Schizosaccharomyces pombe: one gene and its partners. Changing the gene in region 1 together with any one later gene gives a genetic interaction. Each region holds a gene or a part of one and is shown in the gene's direction. Other genes may lie near its edges.

What was found. A genetic interaction does not mean that the proteins touch.
Region 2: mutations in tsc2 (region 1) and leu1 are lethal when combined (synthetic lethality), as found in Schizosaccharomyces pombe (2 studies listed by BioGRID, with this or other methods).
Region 3: of tsc2 (region 1) and gcn5, a mutation in one rescues a mutant of the other (synthetic rescue), as found in Schizosaccharomyces pombe (2 studies listed by BioGRID, with this or other methods).

Annotation. Positions count from the first base shown.
Region 1 is NC_003424.3:368,102-377,835, reverse strand, and holds tsc2 (Rheb GAP, tuberin Tsc2), read left to right. Parts: upstream 1-3,704; 5' UTR 3,705-3,871; coding exon 3,872-7,891; 3' UTR 7,892-7,995; downstream 7,996-9,734. Other genes in the region: transcriptional corepressor Tup12, read left to right, coding at 720-843, 905-992, 1,390-1,742, 2,006-3,153; SPOM_SPAC630.12 (lipid phosphatase), read right to left, coding at 7,996-9,264. UniProt on the Schizosaccharomyces pombe protein: Together with tsc1, required for uptake of various amino acids from the environment and for proper conjugation. Involved in induction of gene expression of permeases and genes required for meiosis upon nitrogen starvation.
Region 2 is NC_003423.3:1,973,890-1,977,628, reverse strand, and holds leu1 (3-isopropylmalate dehydrogenase Leu1), read left to right. Parts: upstream 1-1,954; 5' UTR 1,955-2,025; coding exon 2,026-3,141; 3' UTR 3,142-3,239; downstream 3,240-3,739. Other genes in the region: top2 (DNA topoisomerase II), read left to right, coding at 1-1,376; anaphase-promoting complex substrate recognition subunit Apc10, read right to left, coding at 3,564-3,639, 3,698-3,739. UniProt on the Schizosaccharomyces pombe protein: Catalyzes the oxidation of 3-carboxy-2-hydroxy-4-methylpentanoate (3-isopropylmalate) to 3-carboxy-4-methyl-2-oxopentanoate. The product decarboxylates to 4-methyl-2 oxopentanoate.
Region 3 is NC_003424.3:4,971,676-4,976,198, forward strand, and holds gcn5 (SAGA complex histone acetyltransferase catalytic subunit Gcn5), read left to right. Parts: upstream 1-1,948; 5' UTR 1,949-2,440; coding exon 2,441-3,805; 3' UTR 3,806-4,023; downstream 4,024-4,523. Other genes in the region: OUT family ubiquitin-specific cysteine protease Otu2, read left to right, coding at 1-462; SPOM_SPAC1952.04C (uncharacterized protein), read right to left, coding at 751-987, 1,177-1,247, 1,342-1,355, 1,569-1,660; SPOM_SPAC1952.06C (uncharacterized protein), read right to left, coding at 4,071-4,523.

The DNA of each region.
Region 1 (9,734 bases):
TCTAGGAAGTGTATCATAGTAAATTAAGTCAATGGGCTGAGGAGCAGGCCGTCTATGGCGTATGAAAATTCGAGACTAGTTTCTGGAAATAGCATATAGTGTTTTCAAAGTTATTCACTATCAAGATGAAATTAAATTACGTTAACTTCTATGGAATTCATCCTTAAAGTAAGTTTGTTTCAAAATACCCATAAAATAGTTTTCTTGATTGACTTTAAGAATTCATATTAGGATTATGACATCTACACTTTTGTAAAACTAAACTTCCAATAAAAACCAATACCAAATAATGTTTTATTACCAATTGTATCAAAACGCTTCATATTCTTCCCAAAAAAAAAAAAAAAGGATCTTCTATCTAAAGATTTTCAAGGTTTTAGAGTTAAGATATTTCACGAACTAATTCAAAAAGGGTTTCAATCGATTAACGTTAAAAAATATGTTTTACGAGGTTTCATCACAAATTAATGATTTTACATTTTCCAACTGCGGCAAGTTGAATGAACAGCCAAATTACTAATTCAACAATATTGTCTCGCTAAGCATAAGTGAAATTGTCTTTCCTGACATGTTAATCTCAACATAGTTTGCTTACTTTAGCTTCGAAGCCGAGAAGGTTTTACCGAAATTAACGAATGTTATTTCTCGTTATTTCTCAAACAACATCATTCATGATTACTGTCCGCCAATTCACTTTTACCATCTTCAAGTTTCAATTTATGGCGACGTCCAATGTATCATCACGTGTAAATGAGCTTTTAGAAGCGGTTAAAAAGGAATTTGAAGATATTTGTCAAAAAACTAAAACCGTTGAAGCTCAAAAGGATGATTTTGAATATAAAGGTATCTTATACAAGAATTTGCTGACAAATTTGCGGTACAAATCTAACACTTCTTAAATTAGCAATGATATCTGCACAAATTAATGAAATGGCGCTCATGAAACAAACCGTTATGGATTTGGAGATGCAGCAGTCTAAAGTGAAGGATCGGTATGTCAATTTTCCTAATACACGCTTGGCGAGAAGGTTTGTTATATTAGTACAAGGTTATGCAATTATTGTGAGTGTTGTAGAGTCTTACAAAAGCGATTCCTCTCTAAATATTTATACAATTTACGGTCGTTGACGATAAATCTTTAAAGATGCTAAATAATGGTGGCTCCTTTGATGGGAGTAAATTCTATTAAGTAATCTTTTCATATTTTTACTCCGATGAAGGGTATTTCGTTTTTTACTCAGTATTTGGATGTTTATCACTGTTCGAAGATTCTCTGTCCTTTTCACACTTTTGTCAGCACCAGCATGCCTTCTGCTATGTGAACATTTATTCTCAATTTTATATTATATTTTCTCGAAAGCTATCTTTCTTGTTACTAACTCTCTCTAGTTACGAAGAAGAAATCACCTCCTTAAAAGCTCAACTGGAAGCTAGACGCAAAGAAATTGCTTCTGGCGTCGTCCCACAGTCTTCGAAAACTAAACACGGGCGCAATAGCGTTTCTTTTGGAAAATATGGAAATGCGGGCCCTTTTAACTCGGACAACTCCTCGAAACCTTTGATACTTAATAACGGTTCTTCTGGAGGAACTCCTAAAAATCTTCGATCACCTGCCATTGATTCAGATGGTACTGTTTTAGCTCCTATTCAGACCTCGAACGTAGATCTTGGTTCACAATATTATTCCAGTCCTCATGTACGCCCTGCTGTGGGTGCAACCATGGCTGGATCTGCTATGCGAAGTAAGTTCAAGCTTGCATTGTAGCTTTTGGCAACAGCATTTGTTTTTTGACTTGATCAAGTTTATAGATACTTTTTGTCTTTCACTTTATTGTTTGCATCTGGTATGTTGTACACCGTATGTTCCCAGACAATTTTTTAATGCTGTCATTAATTCGTTTGAATTCCTTGCGGCTTTTGTTCATTTTTTGTAAAACAAAATACTATTGCCGAAACTATTTTGCTTCCTCGTTTTAATTTGGATTTTCTTACTTACCATTCACAGCATTTCCTTCCAATTTACCGCTCGGACATCCTCCACCTCCATCTGACTCAGCTAATTCTTCCGTCACACCTATCGCTGCTCCTTTGGTTGTAAACGGAAAAGTCTCAGGTAATCCTCCTTATCCTGCTGAAATTATTCCGACATCCAATGTGCCTAATAGAGAGGAGAAAGATTGGACTGTCACTAGCAATGTACCTAACAAAGAACCCCCGATCTCTGTTCAACTACTTCATACACTGGAACACACAAGCGTTATTTGTTATGTAAGGTTTAGTGCCGATGGAAAATTTTTGGCTACGGGTTGTAACAGAGCAGCTATGGTTTTTAATGTGGAGACCGGTAAATTAATTACGCTTCTGCAGGAGGAATCTTCGAAGCGTGAAGGTGATTTATATGTTCGCAGTGTAGCATTTAGTCCTGATGGTAAATACCTTGCTACTGGTGTCGAAGATCAACAAATCAGAATATGGGACATCGCTCAAAAACGTGTTTATCGTCTACTGACTGGGCATGAGCAAGAAATTTATTCCCTTGATTTTAGCAAAGATGGAAAAACATTGGTTTCTGGTAGTGGAGATAGAACTGTTTGTCTTTGGGATGTTGAAGCTGGCGAGCAAAAACTAATTTTGCATACCGATGATGGTGTTACTACAGTAATGTTTTCTCCCGACGGTCAATTTATTGCTGCAGGTTCTTTAGATAAGGTAATTAGGATTTGGACATCGTCCGGAACTTTAGTAGAGCAGCTTCATGGTCATGAAGAGAGTGTTTACAGCGTTGCCTTCTCTCCTGACGGAAAATACCTGGTTAGTGGAAGTTTGGATAACACAATTAAGTTATGGGAGTTGCAATGCGTCTCCAACGTTGCACCCAGCATGTATAAGGAAGGCGGTATTTGCAAGCAAACTTTTACTGGACATAAAGATTTTATTCTAAGTGTCACTGTCTCTCCGGATGGAAAATGGATTATTAGCGGCTCGAAAGACCGAACCATCCAATTTTGGTCCCCCGATTCTCCTCATTCTCAGTTAACTCTCCAGGGACACAATAACTCAGTAATATCGGTTGCTGTTAGCCCGAATGGCCATTGCTTTGCTACTGGTAGTGGTGACTTACGAGCAAGAATTTGGTCTTATGAGGATCTGTAAGAACTAGCGATGTTTCATTTATAGCATTGAATGACAATGTCCGAAACCTACTTAATTTTTTAATTCTTCATTTGCCAATAATGCCCATTGACCATTGTGAGACTCGCTTCTTGGCAAGTCTTTTTTCCTTTATTTTATAAAAATTCATAACCGATTTTGTAACCCTTCAAACTTGCGGCTTATTTTGGTCGGAATTTTTCTATCAAGTCAAGCCGACCAGATGTTTTTGCTAATTCTTGAATCATTTCAATTCCCTTTTTTTAATTTTTGATACTTCCATACAATCCCCGACAACCGAAACTCTGATTTTATCCATAGTATTTCATTAACTATTAAATCCCAACTTTTGTATATATTTAATAGACCCTTCAAGTTATGTATATGTTTGCGCGACCTAGCTACTTAGCAATTGGTTTTTACGGTTAAATAACTTCATATATTTTTTGAATTTTGAATGTCGAATACTAAGTTTCTATTTATTAGTTTTAATGTCGTTTCAACCTATTCCTCTTAGATAAGGTAATGCTTCCCCTAATTCATAGCAGCCTGTCAGCTCTCCTCCCCACCCCTACCAGTGTAGCTAATACTTGAAATCAACTTCCATGCTCATAGTTTATGATCTTGAATATTCCATTAAGTTAAGAGTTCAGATTTGCTTTATGTGGTTATTCTGCTGAAGGTCCTAATTTATTGACGTTGAAAAATAAAGGCCACATAGATGAACAATAAATCACTTTTGGATCTTTCTAGTGAGCCTGCTATCAAAGATACAGACATTCTATCATATTTTGATGCTAACCTTCCTTTTAAAAAAAGGCATCAGATTGTAAGGAGTATTTACCATGGCTTAAAATACTATATATATTCATCGACTTCTATCATTCAAGTATGGCAAAATATTCAGGATTTTATCTCCACCAAAAACGATAATGCTGCTTTTCGGGAGCTTGTATACAATCTTATGATGAGATATGTTTCTACACAAAAGCATCTCTCGATTATAGAGCGCCACACTTTTTTTCAAACTATTGAGAAAGATCCTTTTCAAGATATTGCTGAATTACAGCTTCGGCTTAAGAGTTTGAGTGTTTTAACGGATGAAGGGCACAAAATCTCCGGTATTGAGAATAGGGTTGGTCCTTTGTTGAGTGCATGGTTTAACCAGTATCTTCAATGGCAATCTCAAGCAACTGAATTGCAAGGCAAAGACGCAGATTCAAAGCTCGTACATTTGCTTTTTTTTAAAAGCCTTTTTAAGTTTTCTACCAACTTAGTAAAATTTCAGTGGTTCCTAGTGCCTGAACCTCAAATGCTACAGCTTGTTAATTCCGTGGTACAAATATGTAATCACGCTCGCTTAGAAGATGTGGTTACTGAGGTTCTGATGTTTTTTGATTCCATGATTCGCTACTCGGTTATTCCAAAAGCTTCACTGTATGATACTGTTCTTATTTTGTGTAGCACATACATCAGCACCTACTCATATTCGAAACTTGCACAATCTGTTATATTTAATCTTATTAGTAGTCCCGTGTCAAATCTGGCTTTTGAAAACGTATTTAATATACTTCAATACAATCGCTCGAATGTTAATGCTGTACGGGGCGCTGTGCGTTTAATGCGTTTTCTCATGCTGCAAGAAGTGAAAAATGATGCAATAGCTTCTATAACTTTAAGTTCAAGTATTGAATTTACTGAGTTTCCATTAGGATTTAATGAGAATGTTGATTTTGAGATCCTTGGTACTGTGTATCTTTTTTTACGTACACCTTCTATATTAAATCGCCTTAATTTTTTGGATTGGCATCGGATTCTTAATATTTTAATGTATTGTTCACAATATCTACCTTTGAAAGCTAGTACATCGAAGGAAGCATTTTCGAAGACTGCAGCATTTGCTAATATATATGATCGTGTTTTGGATTTTTTGGATTTCGAAGCCTTGATTCCACTGCTGCAACAATTTCAGGTTAAGCTGGTATTCTTTTTGAAGGATGTTCTTCCAGTGTTAAAGCCGAAAATTCGAAAAAAACTTTTACGTCTTTTTGAGACTTACAATCTTATATTTCCTTGCAATCAATATTGGGTATTCAACCTTGAATTTTTACTTGGTATTTACCAATGCAAAACATTTGATCTTGAAGATCGAGCTCTTTTATTTAAGCTTGTGGAAGATGCTTGCTCTGTTGCTGATGAAAATTCGGCCCCCATTTTGTGTTCGAAATTCCTTTTTCCAGTAATTGAAAGCTTTTCTAAGGAATCTGATGATTGTGTTGTTTCTCCTGTATATAATATGTTGTTTTTCTTGTCTGTCAATTTTCAAAACCCGGGACTTAAGGATTGTATCGATCATATTTTTCAACAGCTAATTTCCGACACGAGCTCTGTTACTGTTCGCAGACTTGCCACGAGTACATTAATTCGTCTTTTTTATTATTATTATGACTTAAGGGATGCTGTGCCTATTCAAGAAACACTGGCTAAAATGTTAGAAATCTTGGAGACTCCATCTTTCCCTTTTGTTTCTCGAATGTTGTGTTTACAATTCTTTCTTCGATTTCGAGCAAATGGGACGTCTATTTATATATGTGAGAATATAGATTTGAATGAACCCTTCAAAGTCTTAAACGTTGATTCAGAACTGATTCCTGCAGTTTATCCCATTTCTGATTCTTTTGTTAACTCAGCAACAGTAGAAAAGCATATTTGGGAACGAAAAGAAAACGATTTGATTAAAATTTCAAATCATTCTACAGAATATGGCAAGGACTTTGTAACGTTCCCAACGTCTTCCTTGTTAAGGTTTTATCGAAAATCCATGGCTACAGAGTCTAACTGGACTATCCTTATGTTCATGATTACCCACCTTGCTGATCAAATAAGTAATAGGAGTATGTTTATCGGCGCATTAGAAGAAATCTATAATTTACTTGATTTTATGTGTGATATCGTTTTTGAAAGAGTTTCTATATCTGCTGAAATTCCTTCTAATATTCGTAAGGCCAACATCATGATACCAATCTTGCAAAACGTACAAATGCTTTTTGTTTATCATGATCAATTCAGCAGGGCTCAGGAAGATGAATTAGTCAGCGTTTTTTTTGCAGGGTTGCAAAAATGGAACGAAGCATGTCATGTTTCTATTCATTCACTTATGTTATGCTGTTATGAATTACCCGTTTCAATTCGAAAGCAGTTACCTGCAATTTTAGTCACTTTGTCAAGGTTAATCACCAAACCTGATTTGAGCGTTCACATTTTAGAATTTTTATGCAGTTTAGCAAGATTACCTGATCTTATTGCAAACTTTACGGATGCTGACTATAGACAAATTTTTGCAATTGCTTTGAAATACATTCAGCACAGAGATTTCACTAAGGAGTCGAAAGATTCAAATGATACGGAGAGCATATTAAAAAACTCTTACTCATCATACGTTCTAGCTCTAGCCTATAGCGTGTTACAAATATGGTTTCTTTCGTTAAGATTAACTGAGCGTAAAAAATTCGTACCTTGGATATTGCGTGGACTGAAGCTTGCTTCTGAAGGTAAACCATTGGAAGATTTATGTCTTGTTCAATATGACATGATGCAACAATTTTGCTATTCTAATTCCGACATCAATAACCAAACATCTACTTTTGTTGACTCAGACGTGGAAAGTGAAACTTGGATTCGTGGTAATTCACTCTTTACGATAAACGTGTCGGTAAACTCTGGATTCTTAGAAGCTGTCATTCGTCGCCCGACAGGTACTACGCAGTATACTTTTCGAAATGAAGCAAGTCTGCAAAAGTTTTTATGGGAGGAAAATCTCACAAGTTCAAAGGCTCTTACGAGGGGGCTTTTGTGTACTCCTAGCAGCTTTGTCTCTCATTTCTTGGATCCACATGGTATTTCTTTATACAATCAGCCTCTTCTGCTTCCCTCTAATGATGATTCTGTGCGTAGGGCTATAAGTGTTTTTGACCGTATTCCTGTAATTGAATCACTGAAGGCTGGTCTTGTGTACGTTGGGTACCAACAGCGTCGAGAAGCAGACATATTGGCAAATACAAATCCTTCTGAAGATTTCCTTACTTTTCTTAACGGTCTGGGCACATTATTCGAATTAAAAACAGATCAAAAAGTTTTCGCTGGTGGTTTAGATAGGGAAAATGATATAGACGGTGCGTTTGCGTATTGTTGGAAAGATAAAGTTACCCAAATGGTGTTCCATTGCACTACAATGATGCCAACTAATATAGAACATGACCCTGGGTGCACATTAAAGAAGCGTCATATTGGAAATGACTTTGTTACTATTATATTCAACGAATCTGGTTTAGAGTACGACTTTGATACAATTCCTAGTCAGTTCAACTTTGTGAACATTGTTATTACCCCTGAATCCGAATCTATCAGAAGAACAGGGCGTCAAATTAAATTTTATAAAGTTAAAGCGTTGACCAAATATGATATTGACTTTAGCTTATTCCGTCGTTACAAAATTGTTTCAAGCGATGCATTACCGGCAATTGTTCGTGATGTAACTCTGAACGCTGCCGTTTTTTCACATATATATCATCGCAGTGCTGGTGATTATGTTCATATATGGGCTGAAAGATTACGACAGTTAAAAAGATTACGCGAAAAATTTCAAGCTTCAGTTTTACCAGAAGACTACAATCTCGACGAGCAAACAAAGACCAAGCTTCAAAATGGCACGAATTTTTCGGACTTTACTAGTTATTTATGAGCCATAAGGGCATATAAAAAGTCCTAAATTAAAAGATTGATTACGATTGTGCCTTGCCATCATTAATTAATTTTTTTTATTTAATCTTAAATATTATTTATAGATCAGATAATGAAGATGTTAAGGAAGATGAATAAAAGAAACGGTATCCATGTATATGAGATGAATGTAGAAAGGGTTATGCGCACAATTTTTTTAAACAAATGAATTGTTGTTGACAATGAAAATCGGCGTGCATGAGTTTTGTAAAGTGGGAGGCTATAACGGTCAGTTCCAAAAAAAAAGATAGCAGTCCTCAATAATATAAGAGCAAAAAAGATGGATATAGAAGCACCATACCAAACATAAATTTGAATTTGGTTAGGAAGAATGCATAACTTTGTCTGATAAGAACTTTTTTGATCGGCTTTAGGGTTGTCATAAGGATAGTTCAATGAGAGAAGTTGATATCCCGGATATAGTATGCCGCTGGTCATAGAAAATGCCTTCACATTATATTCCGTGGTGGCTGCTTCTCGAGTATCCACCTGGTAATTATGCACAACTTCGCAATAATCGTGATCGTCTCCAGCAAATGCGGCAATTGGTTCAACAGCTTTTAAAATAGACTCGGAAAGTTCTGGCAAAAGCAAGTTTTGATACTGATATCCCAAACCATATTTGATAACATCATCTTTTTCACGAAGCTCCCCGCAAGAATTGATGGCAGGGCGAAACAAAGGAACGTGAGATAGAAGGATCCTAGGTCTCGAGTTGTCCTTATTTGTTTCAAAGCTTTTTAAGAAGTCTCTAGCCGGTTGATAAACTTGGGGATTGACGTTGTTTGATAAACGAATTCCATCTACAATAACCAGTGTATGATTGCCAACGTCTATTGATCGAGATGTTGGACCAAAAAGAGATTCAAATCTTTGAATATCCTTAACAATAGCGTGATTACCAAATCCAATATCATGATTGCCAGGGTAGATTTCCAATTTATTGGTGAATTTTGGGTCAAGGACGTTCATCATTCTGAAATAATCTTTTTTAAATTCTTCAGTTGCGAATTCTCTACCTGTGTCCATCAAATCGCCCATTATGAAAGTAATATCTGGCTTCAGTGATTTATGAAGATAACGCCAATGCCGACGAAGAAACTGGTCGGAAATCCATTTAACGATTCCAATTAAAGGTCGAGGATAATCATAAGTCAAATCGTCAACTAATTGAGGATCCGCAACCAATGCAATCCTTACTGGATTCCCAGTACTCTCCCATTGCTCCCAAGACCGCCAATCGCACTTTTTATGTGGCCTTGTATGAATAATTTTCTCGAGATAAAGAACATAAAAACAAAAAGCAATTATGACTAAAAAACGACCTACTTTCATCTTCAGTTATTCTTTTCTTCTATTAAAAATGCACGCTCTAAGAAAGTAAGAATAGTAAATCGAGATAGTATGCCAAGTATATACACTACGTTCTAATTTATCGATGCAGAATAAAGGTCGAGTAATTTCAAAGCAATCTAATGAAACTCCACGTTTACAATAAAACCGAAATGTTGGAGAAATGACACTAGACCCTAATGATTAGTTAAATTTATTATTCCTGTTCTTAGTATGACTTTGAAACAGGTGTATTTTTCTTCTAGATAAACCTTGTTAGTAAAGACTTCAAAAATTGTGAAGTTTGGAAAACTGAAGGACCTTTGGCTCAAGAAGCGACTGGCCTCATGTAGAGAATCTTAATATGAAGCTTTGCGGTGCTCAATTTCTTGATTGAATACCCACTATTTTCACTCAACAAGTAATATTCACCTTCTAATTGATTTAATTTATAAACTGACTCATTAATTGCT
Region 2 (3,739 bases), on another chromosome or scaffold:
ATATGATTGCTTTTGATGCATCTGGACGGATCAAGAAGTATGACAGTGTTGAAGATATTTTGACCGAGTTTTACGAAGTACGTTTAAGGACATACCAGAGACGTAAAGAGCATATGGTTAATGAATTGGAAAAAAGGTTTGATAGATTTTCAAATCAAGCGCGGTTTATTCATATGATTATAGAGGGGGAGCTTGTAGTTTCAAAAAAGAAGAAAAAGGATCTCATTGTGGAGCTGAAGGAAAAGAAGTTTCAACCTATCAGTAAACCAAAGAAAGGGCATTTGGTTGATTTAGAAGTTGAAAATGCTCTTGCTGAAGAAGAACAATCTGGTGATGTTTCGCAAGACGAGGATTCAGATGCCTACAATTACCTTCTTTCAATGCCTTTATGGTCTTTGACCTATGAACGGTATGTGGAACTTCTCAAGAAAAAGGACGAAGTAATGGCCGAACTGGATGCTTTGATTAAAAAAACTCCTAAAGAATTGTGGCTTCATGATTTGGATGCATTTGAGCATGCTTGGAATAAGGTTATGGATGATATTCAGAGAGAAATGTTAGAAGAAGAGCAATCCTCTAGAGATTTTGTAAATCGAACGAAAAAGAAGCCTCGAGGTAAATCCACTGGTACTAGGAAACCCAGGGCTATTGCCGGATCCTCCTCAAGTACTGCTGTTAAAAAAGAAGCTAGCAGCGAATCCAAACCATCTACAACAAATCGAAAGCAACAAACTTTACTTGAGTTCGCAGCGTCGAAAGAACCTGAGAAATCATCTGACATAAACATTGTCAAGACAGAGGATAACTCTCATGGCTTATCAGTTGAAGAAAATCGCATATCTAAGAGCCCGGGATTGGATAGCAGTGATAGTGGAAAATCAAGAAAAAGAAGTCAATCTGTTGACTCTGAAGACGCAGGTAGTAAAAAACCCGTCAAAAAAATAGCAGCCTCGGCGTCTGGAAGAGGAAGAAAGACTAATAAACCAGTTGCTACTACCATATTTTCTTCAGACGATGAAGATGATTTGTTGCCTAGCAGTTTGAAACCTTCCACCATAACATCCACGAAGGCTTCTGCGAAGAATAAAGGGAAAAAAGCAAGCTCGGTAAAGAAACAATCACCTGAAGATGACGATGATGATTTTATTATTCCAGGTAGTAGTTCAACTCCAAAAGCTAGTTCGACTAACGCAGAGCCACCAGAAGATTCAGATTCTCCGATTAGAAAGAGGCCAACCAGAAGAGCAGCGGCTACAGTGAAAACACCTATTTACGTTGATCCCTCGTTTGATAGCATGGATGAACCCAGCATGCAAGATGATTCTTTTATCGTCGATAACGATGAGGATGTAGACGATTATGATGAGAGTGATTAGCTTCTAAAATTTGGTGTTTTCAAACGCTATTTACAGTACAATCTGAAAAAATTGGATGAACATTGTAAATGGTAGGATACGAGTTCCAATTAATGTATTTTTTAAGTATTACACTTAGCTTATTAATTTTATATATACATTCTACCTCTGTGGGTTTAAAGACAACTCGTACACATACTCAAATTATTTATGAACATTATAATGCATATTCGTACTGTCTATTAAACATTTTTTTGACATTAAAAATTTCGTTTACTAACGTAGAAAGCGCTGATAATTGAGGCTACTATTTTAATATCTAGAAACAAAGATTCATTAATTAATTAAGTAAGCTCCAGGATACTTGTATATTTCGTTAAAAAAGCGCAATTTCAACAATTCCTATGAACATCCATGATTTCATCACAAAATCAAACATATCAGGATTTAACGTGAATTATTTGCTTTCTTGTGATTTTCATCTGATTTCTGGTCATTTACGTTACTGTAAACAAGCTTTTTAAAAAAAGGATTTTTTACGCAATATTATCGATATCCCAATCTGTAGTATAAAAAGTGCAACAGTGTTGAGTTTCCCGAAACCAGGCATTTTTGCGGTAGGGTCTGAAACTTTCACGAAACCATTTCACAACAAAACTTCTTCAACAACATGTGTGCAAAGAAAATCGTCGTCTTACCAGGAGACCATATTGGCCCTGAAATTGTTGCTTCTGCCTTGGAGGTTTTGAAAGTCGTTGAGAAGAAGCGACCTGAGTTAAAACTCGAGTTTGAAGAACACAAGATTGGAGGTGCCTCTATTGATGCCTATGGAACCCCTTTGACTGACGAGACTGTGAAGGCTTGTTTGGAAGCTGACGGTGTTCTTTTGGGTGCCGTTGGTGGTCCTGAATGGACCAACCCCAATTGTCGTCCTGAGCAAGGTTTATTGAAGCTTCGTAAGAGTATGGGTGTTTGGGCCAACCTTCGACCTTGCAACTTTGCCAGCAAGTCTTTAGTCAAGTACAGCCCTTTGAAGCCTGAAATCGTTGAAGGTGTCGATTTTTGTGTTGTACGAGAACTTACTGGAGGTTGTTACTTTGGTGAGCGCACTGAGGACAACGGATCGGGTTATGCTATGGACACTTGGCCTTACAGTTTGGAAGAAGTTTCTCGTATTGCTCGTTTGGCTGCTTGGTTAGCTGAAACTTCCAACCCTCCTGCTCCCGTCACATTACTCGACAAAGCTAATGTTTTGGCAACTTCTCGTCTTTGGCGCAAGACTGTAGCTAAGATTTTTAAGGAGGAATATCCTCACCTTACCTTAAAAAACCAGCTCATTGACTCCGCAGCCATGCTTTTGGTCAAGAGCCCTCGTACACTTAACGGTGTTGTTTTGACTGACAACTTGTTTGGTGACATTATTTCAGATGAGGCTTCTGTCATTCCTGGTAGCTTGGGCCTTTTGCCTTCTGCCTCCCTTTCCGGTGTGGTAGGAAAATCAGAAGAAAAGGTTCATTGTTTGGTTGAGCCCATTCACGGTAGCGCTCCCGATATCGCTGGCAAGGGCATTGTTAATCCTGTTGGTACAATTTTATCTGCTTCCCTTCTCCTTCGTTATGGTTTGAATGCTCCTAAGGAGGCTGAAGCTATCGAAGCCGCCGTACGCAAGGTCTTGGATGATACTTCAATTGGTGGACGTGGTCTTTATACTCGCGATTTGGGAGGTGAGGCTTCTACCGCTGATATTACTAAGGCTGTTGTTGAAGAACTTGAAAAAATTTTGTAATAGGGTTTAATGTAGAATAAATTCATATGATTTGATTTGACCTAATTTTTATTGATTAATTGTGTCGCATATTTATTATCGTTAAAAATGCAATTGACAAAAGCGTAAATTTTAAGGCTCTAATGTTTTTTCTTTTGGTATGTTATAGTCAAGCAAAGATGTATTAAGTTGCAAAAGCATGGAATTGATTTACGACATCCGTTCAACTTTATGACCGAGTTGTCGCTGTGTACTTACTCTTTTTTTACTATGAAAAGTTTCAAACATAATATCATTAATTATTTCTTTTTAAACGAAGTAACCTGTAACATAAATAATAGGGGAAAAGAAGAAAAAAACCATAAAAATTCGAGAACGTAACAATTATTATTGTAACGATGACAACCCGATTCTTTGAGAGAGCCAGAGACATGACTTTTGCATTACCGTAATTGGTTTCTACTTATGAATTGTAAACTTGTGTAGGGAATTTCATCCACAGCTATCGCGGGCTGCTCTCTGCATCAGTGTTAGCACATTTTATATTAATGAAGATTTTGCTATGCAAAATACGTACATTTCTGGCGCATATATTTTTATCAAACGAACATGACTATCC
Region 3 (4,523 bases), 4.6 Mb from region 1:
GAGAAAAAAAAGTTTTCAAAAATCCTTGAGGAAGCTGGACTTGTTGCAGTCGATATACCAGCGGATGGAAATTGTTTATTTGCTTCCATTTCACATCAGTTAAATTATCATCATAATGTTAAACTAAATAGCCAAGCTCTTCGTAATAAATCCGCTGATTATGTATTAAAGCACTGCGAACAGTTTGAAGGCTTTTTGCTAGACGAAGAATCTGGAGAAGTTTTGCCAGTATCCGATTATTGTAACGAAATTCGAAACAATAGCAAATGGGGAAGTGATATTGAAATACAGGCATTAGCAAACTCTCTTGAGGTTCCTGTTCATGTCTACAACACAGAAGGTCCAGTTTTAAAGTTTAACCCCTCAACGGTCAAGTTCGAAAAACCGTTGTGTATAGCATATTACCAGCATTTGTTTGGGCTTGGCGCTCACTATAATAGTTTATTATATCGGGACAATTAAAAAGATCTAATGAGATGCTTTAGATAGGTTTTTATCCTTTGGTTTATTAGCTTCCTTCCTCGCCGGAAACCATTTAAAAAGGCTGTGCCTTACGAGTTAGATTATATGAATAATATTTATGAATTAAAACTCTTCTGTATTCTATTAATCAAAAAAAAAAATTAGCCATTATTATCTATCATATCCAGTCATATAGTATGCACAATAAATATTACCAAACATGCTTAGAAAGCTTCATCAGGGAAGCATTAGAAACGGTAGAACAATAAATAGAATTAAGGTAGAACATTACTTGTAGCTGTAAGGGGGTGGTGCCTCATCACTTTTTCTTGGAGGCGGTATATGTGGTTGAGGACGAACGTTAGGAATATCGGTTTGTTGCGAACTTGAGCCAGGAAAAAATGCATGCTGTTGAGCACTCGCCTCAGGTCTTTCGGGAGTAGGAAGATCTTCACGCCTGCGCCTTTGATCAATCATGGCCGAATCTACTGGTTCATACCACCCACAATGAGAACAACGAAGTACCTGCTCTGAGTTAGCAAGTGAGTGCTTATTAGTTGGACAGCAAAATAATCCCAACTTTCCCTGGAAAGCATGTAACATTGAAGATTGAAGAATGGCTTAGAAAATAACAAACAAGGTCTGTCAGGTTTCCAAACAATGATAAGTAGAAAGGGTCAACTACATAACATATGCTTTCTTGAATTCCCTTACCTTACTCGTATAAACCGGGAGAACAGGCAAAACGATGAGTGCTAAAGATTTAACCAAACGATATACCCGAACTAAAAACCAAAGTTTTACGTTAACATTAATAAAACAACCCAAAGAAAGAGCAATTGCCTTCATGCAACTACACCACTTATATGTGTCTCATACCAGTTTTATTTTGGCTAAAAAGAAAGTATTAGCAAAAAGTGCTGATGAAAAGAATAGAAGGAAAACAAGAAGACTGCTAGAAACTATTTTTAAATGACAAATTTTAATAAAAAACAAGTGCGTAATTTCTGAAAACAAAATGTTTCTACAATTGTTCCATTTCCACTTCGCCATTTAAACAATGTACTCAATCCACTTGTTTTAACACTAATTCATTGATTTCATACCATACAGGACATGTCAGTAAGACGTGCTTATATTTGCTATTGACTTTCCATATGTCTTGAACATTCAGCGGTATCGGCAAGAAGAGGAACATCTCACGTTAAGAGTCTTAAAATCTTCTTTAAAAAAAAAGAAAAGAAGTTGGATATTATAATGAATAATTCGAGTTAAATCCAAAATATTCGTTTTAGCAGAGTCACTCCATTAGTACGTAGACTAAGCCTCACAGTTAGTGTAATATCACAGAAAATATTTTCGTTAGCTTTATCGCTAAATACATAAAAGAATATCATCACAAAAAGAGGTATTGCTAACGAACTACGGTGCGTCTCTATATTTAGAAGCAACACCAATAACTTCAAAAAATGAAAGCAGAAAATTCGTAGAGAAGAAATTTTCTAATCTTGCATCCCAAGTCAAATCATGTATTTGTGTCTTTAATTAGTAAATATTAGGATAATCGTTGATTTGAAGTATTAAAAAATTGATTGTATTTTGGAGCGCAAATCTGAGATTTTTTTTATAGATTAAAAAATTCTCCTTGATACGGTCATTTTCGGTTGACTTGTGTTCAAACTCTTTCTATAAAAAGAGGTTCTTTTTCTAAGAGAATCCCTGCCGAGTTTCCTTAAGTTTTAGAAAGGTAAAGGGCTGGTCGACGTCTTTTCACATTGTTGGTGCCAAAAACAAAATTTTCGAGACAAATAACTGGGTTCGTGGTGTATATTTTAACAAATTATCGTTTATTTTAATTTTCTGTATTTCGTTATTATATACCGTTTTTTCGTGCTCGTTTCATCTTGTATCGTTCTTGACAATTTCTGTATCTTCACTTTTTGGATTTATTTGTTTGGATGCGTGGCATAGAATAATCATGTCGAATTCGTTAAATGATCAAACACGACCACCCGATTCAAGTGTTGTAGACAGTACATCTTCCAACTTTCCAAATGCGTCAAACGATAGTGTACATGATAAACCGGTAAAACAGGACGAACAATCCAATCCAAATGTTCGCGAAGCAATTGCTAATTCCGATGGACAAGAATCTTTAGCTGTAAAGGAAAACAAGGATACGGAAAGCTCATCCTCTCATTTCGTACCTAACGGAGTTTCAAATTCTAAAAAGAGAAAGCTCGTGGCTACAGATTTAGATGTTGATTTTGATATTAGTAGTGTACGAGTTACTGAAAAGCCATCTGTATTAGAAGAAAAAAGCGGCGTTATTCAATTTCGTGTTGTTTCTAACGACGACACCGCCGACAGTATGATCATGTTGACTGGTTTAAAAAACATATTTATGAAACAACTTCCTAAAATGCCAAAAGAATACATTACGCGGCTAATTTATGATCGAAACCATCTTTCAATGACCATTGTCAAAGATAATTTACATGTAGTGGGCGGTATTACTTATCGTCCATTTGAACAACGAGGATTTGCCGAAATTGTATTTTGTGCGATTGCTTCCAATGAACAGGTTCGTGGTTATGGTTCTCATTTAATGAATCATTTAAAGGATTATGTCCGTGGAACTACTACAATTCAGCACTTCTTGACATATGCAGATAACTATGCAATCGGGTATTTTAAAAAACAAGGATTTACTAAGGAAATTACTCTTGACAAGTCTATATGGGTTGGCTATATTAAGGATTACGAAGGTGGCACACTTATGCAATGCACCATGATTCCAAAAATAAAGTATTTAGAAGCTAATCTGATTTTGGCTATTCAGAAAGCTGCTGTTGTTTCCAAAATTAACAGGATCACTCGGTCGAACGTTGTTTATCCTGGTTTAGACGTATTCAAAGATGGTCCAGCTCATATAGAGCCGTCTCAAGTTCCTGGGTTGATGGAAGTTGGATGGTGCAAGGAAATGGAAGAGCTCTCCAAAAAGCCCAGACCTAAACCTTTTTTTGCCGTTTTGGAAATGCTTTTTACAGAAATGCAAAATCATCCGTCTTCCTGGCCCTTTATGCAACCGGTTAGTAAAGAGGATGTACCCGATTATTACGAAGTTATTGAACACCCCATGGACCTTTCGACTATGGAATTTCGGTTGCGTAACAACCAGTATGAGTCTGTAGAGGAATTTATTCGGGATGCAAAATATATATTTGATAATTGCCGTTCTTACAATGACTCCAACACGACTTACTATAAAAATGCCGATAGATTGGAAAAGTTTTTCCAGAAAAAACTTCGTGAAACTGAGTATTCACACTTAGCCGATTAATCATTTACATTTATTATCATCGAAACGTCTATTCCGAAGTTTTATTGATTATAACATATACATTTCACCTTTTAATTTTTTACACGAATATCTTTTGTGCCTTCCAAATATGCTGGCATATCAAGAACTGCTAGTGTTTAATTTTTAGTTTTTTTGTTTAAAAATATATATAATTCTATAATACCAAACACTCTTTATGTTCCATAATAACAAATGTACAACTCATTAAATTGAAAATATGTTATCAGAACAAGTCATGATTTTATTACACAGATGCTTGCATAGATCCAAGTAAAACAGTAACCATAGGTTTTTCGTCAATTCTGTAGTAAGAGTCGTTGGCCTCCACCTCTTCGGACTCCACCGTCGGTTCTTCAAGGTTTTCATGATAATTTTTTAGAGCATCAGTCAACTCATCAATTGGAATGGATGCTTCGGAAAACAGCATCTTAATTTTTTTCAATGTCACTGTATTTTCAACGCATAACCACGAAAGGATAAGAACTGTAGATTGGAAAGGAAACAGTCCATGATCAATTTGTTGGAGAAACCATTTGGTACTCTTTTCCTCCGAATCAGGACTAAAATCAAGTTTTCTGCTTTGGTCAATACCTTTGAGTTGGATTCTCAAGCGATCGTAAATTTTGAAAAGGCGTTTCATTTTTTCAAAGTCATTTTCAATGAATTTCCGTAAAAAGCGCACCCTTTCTACGGTGTC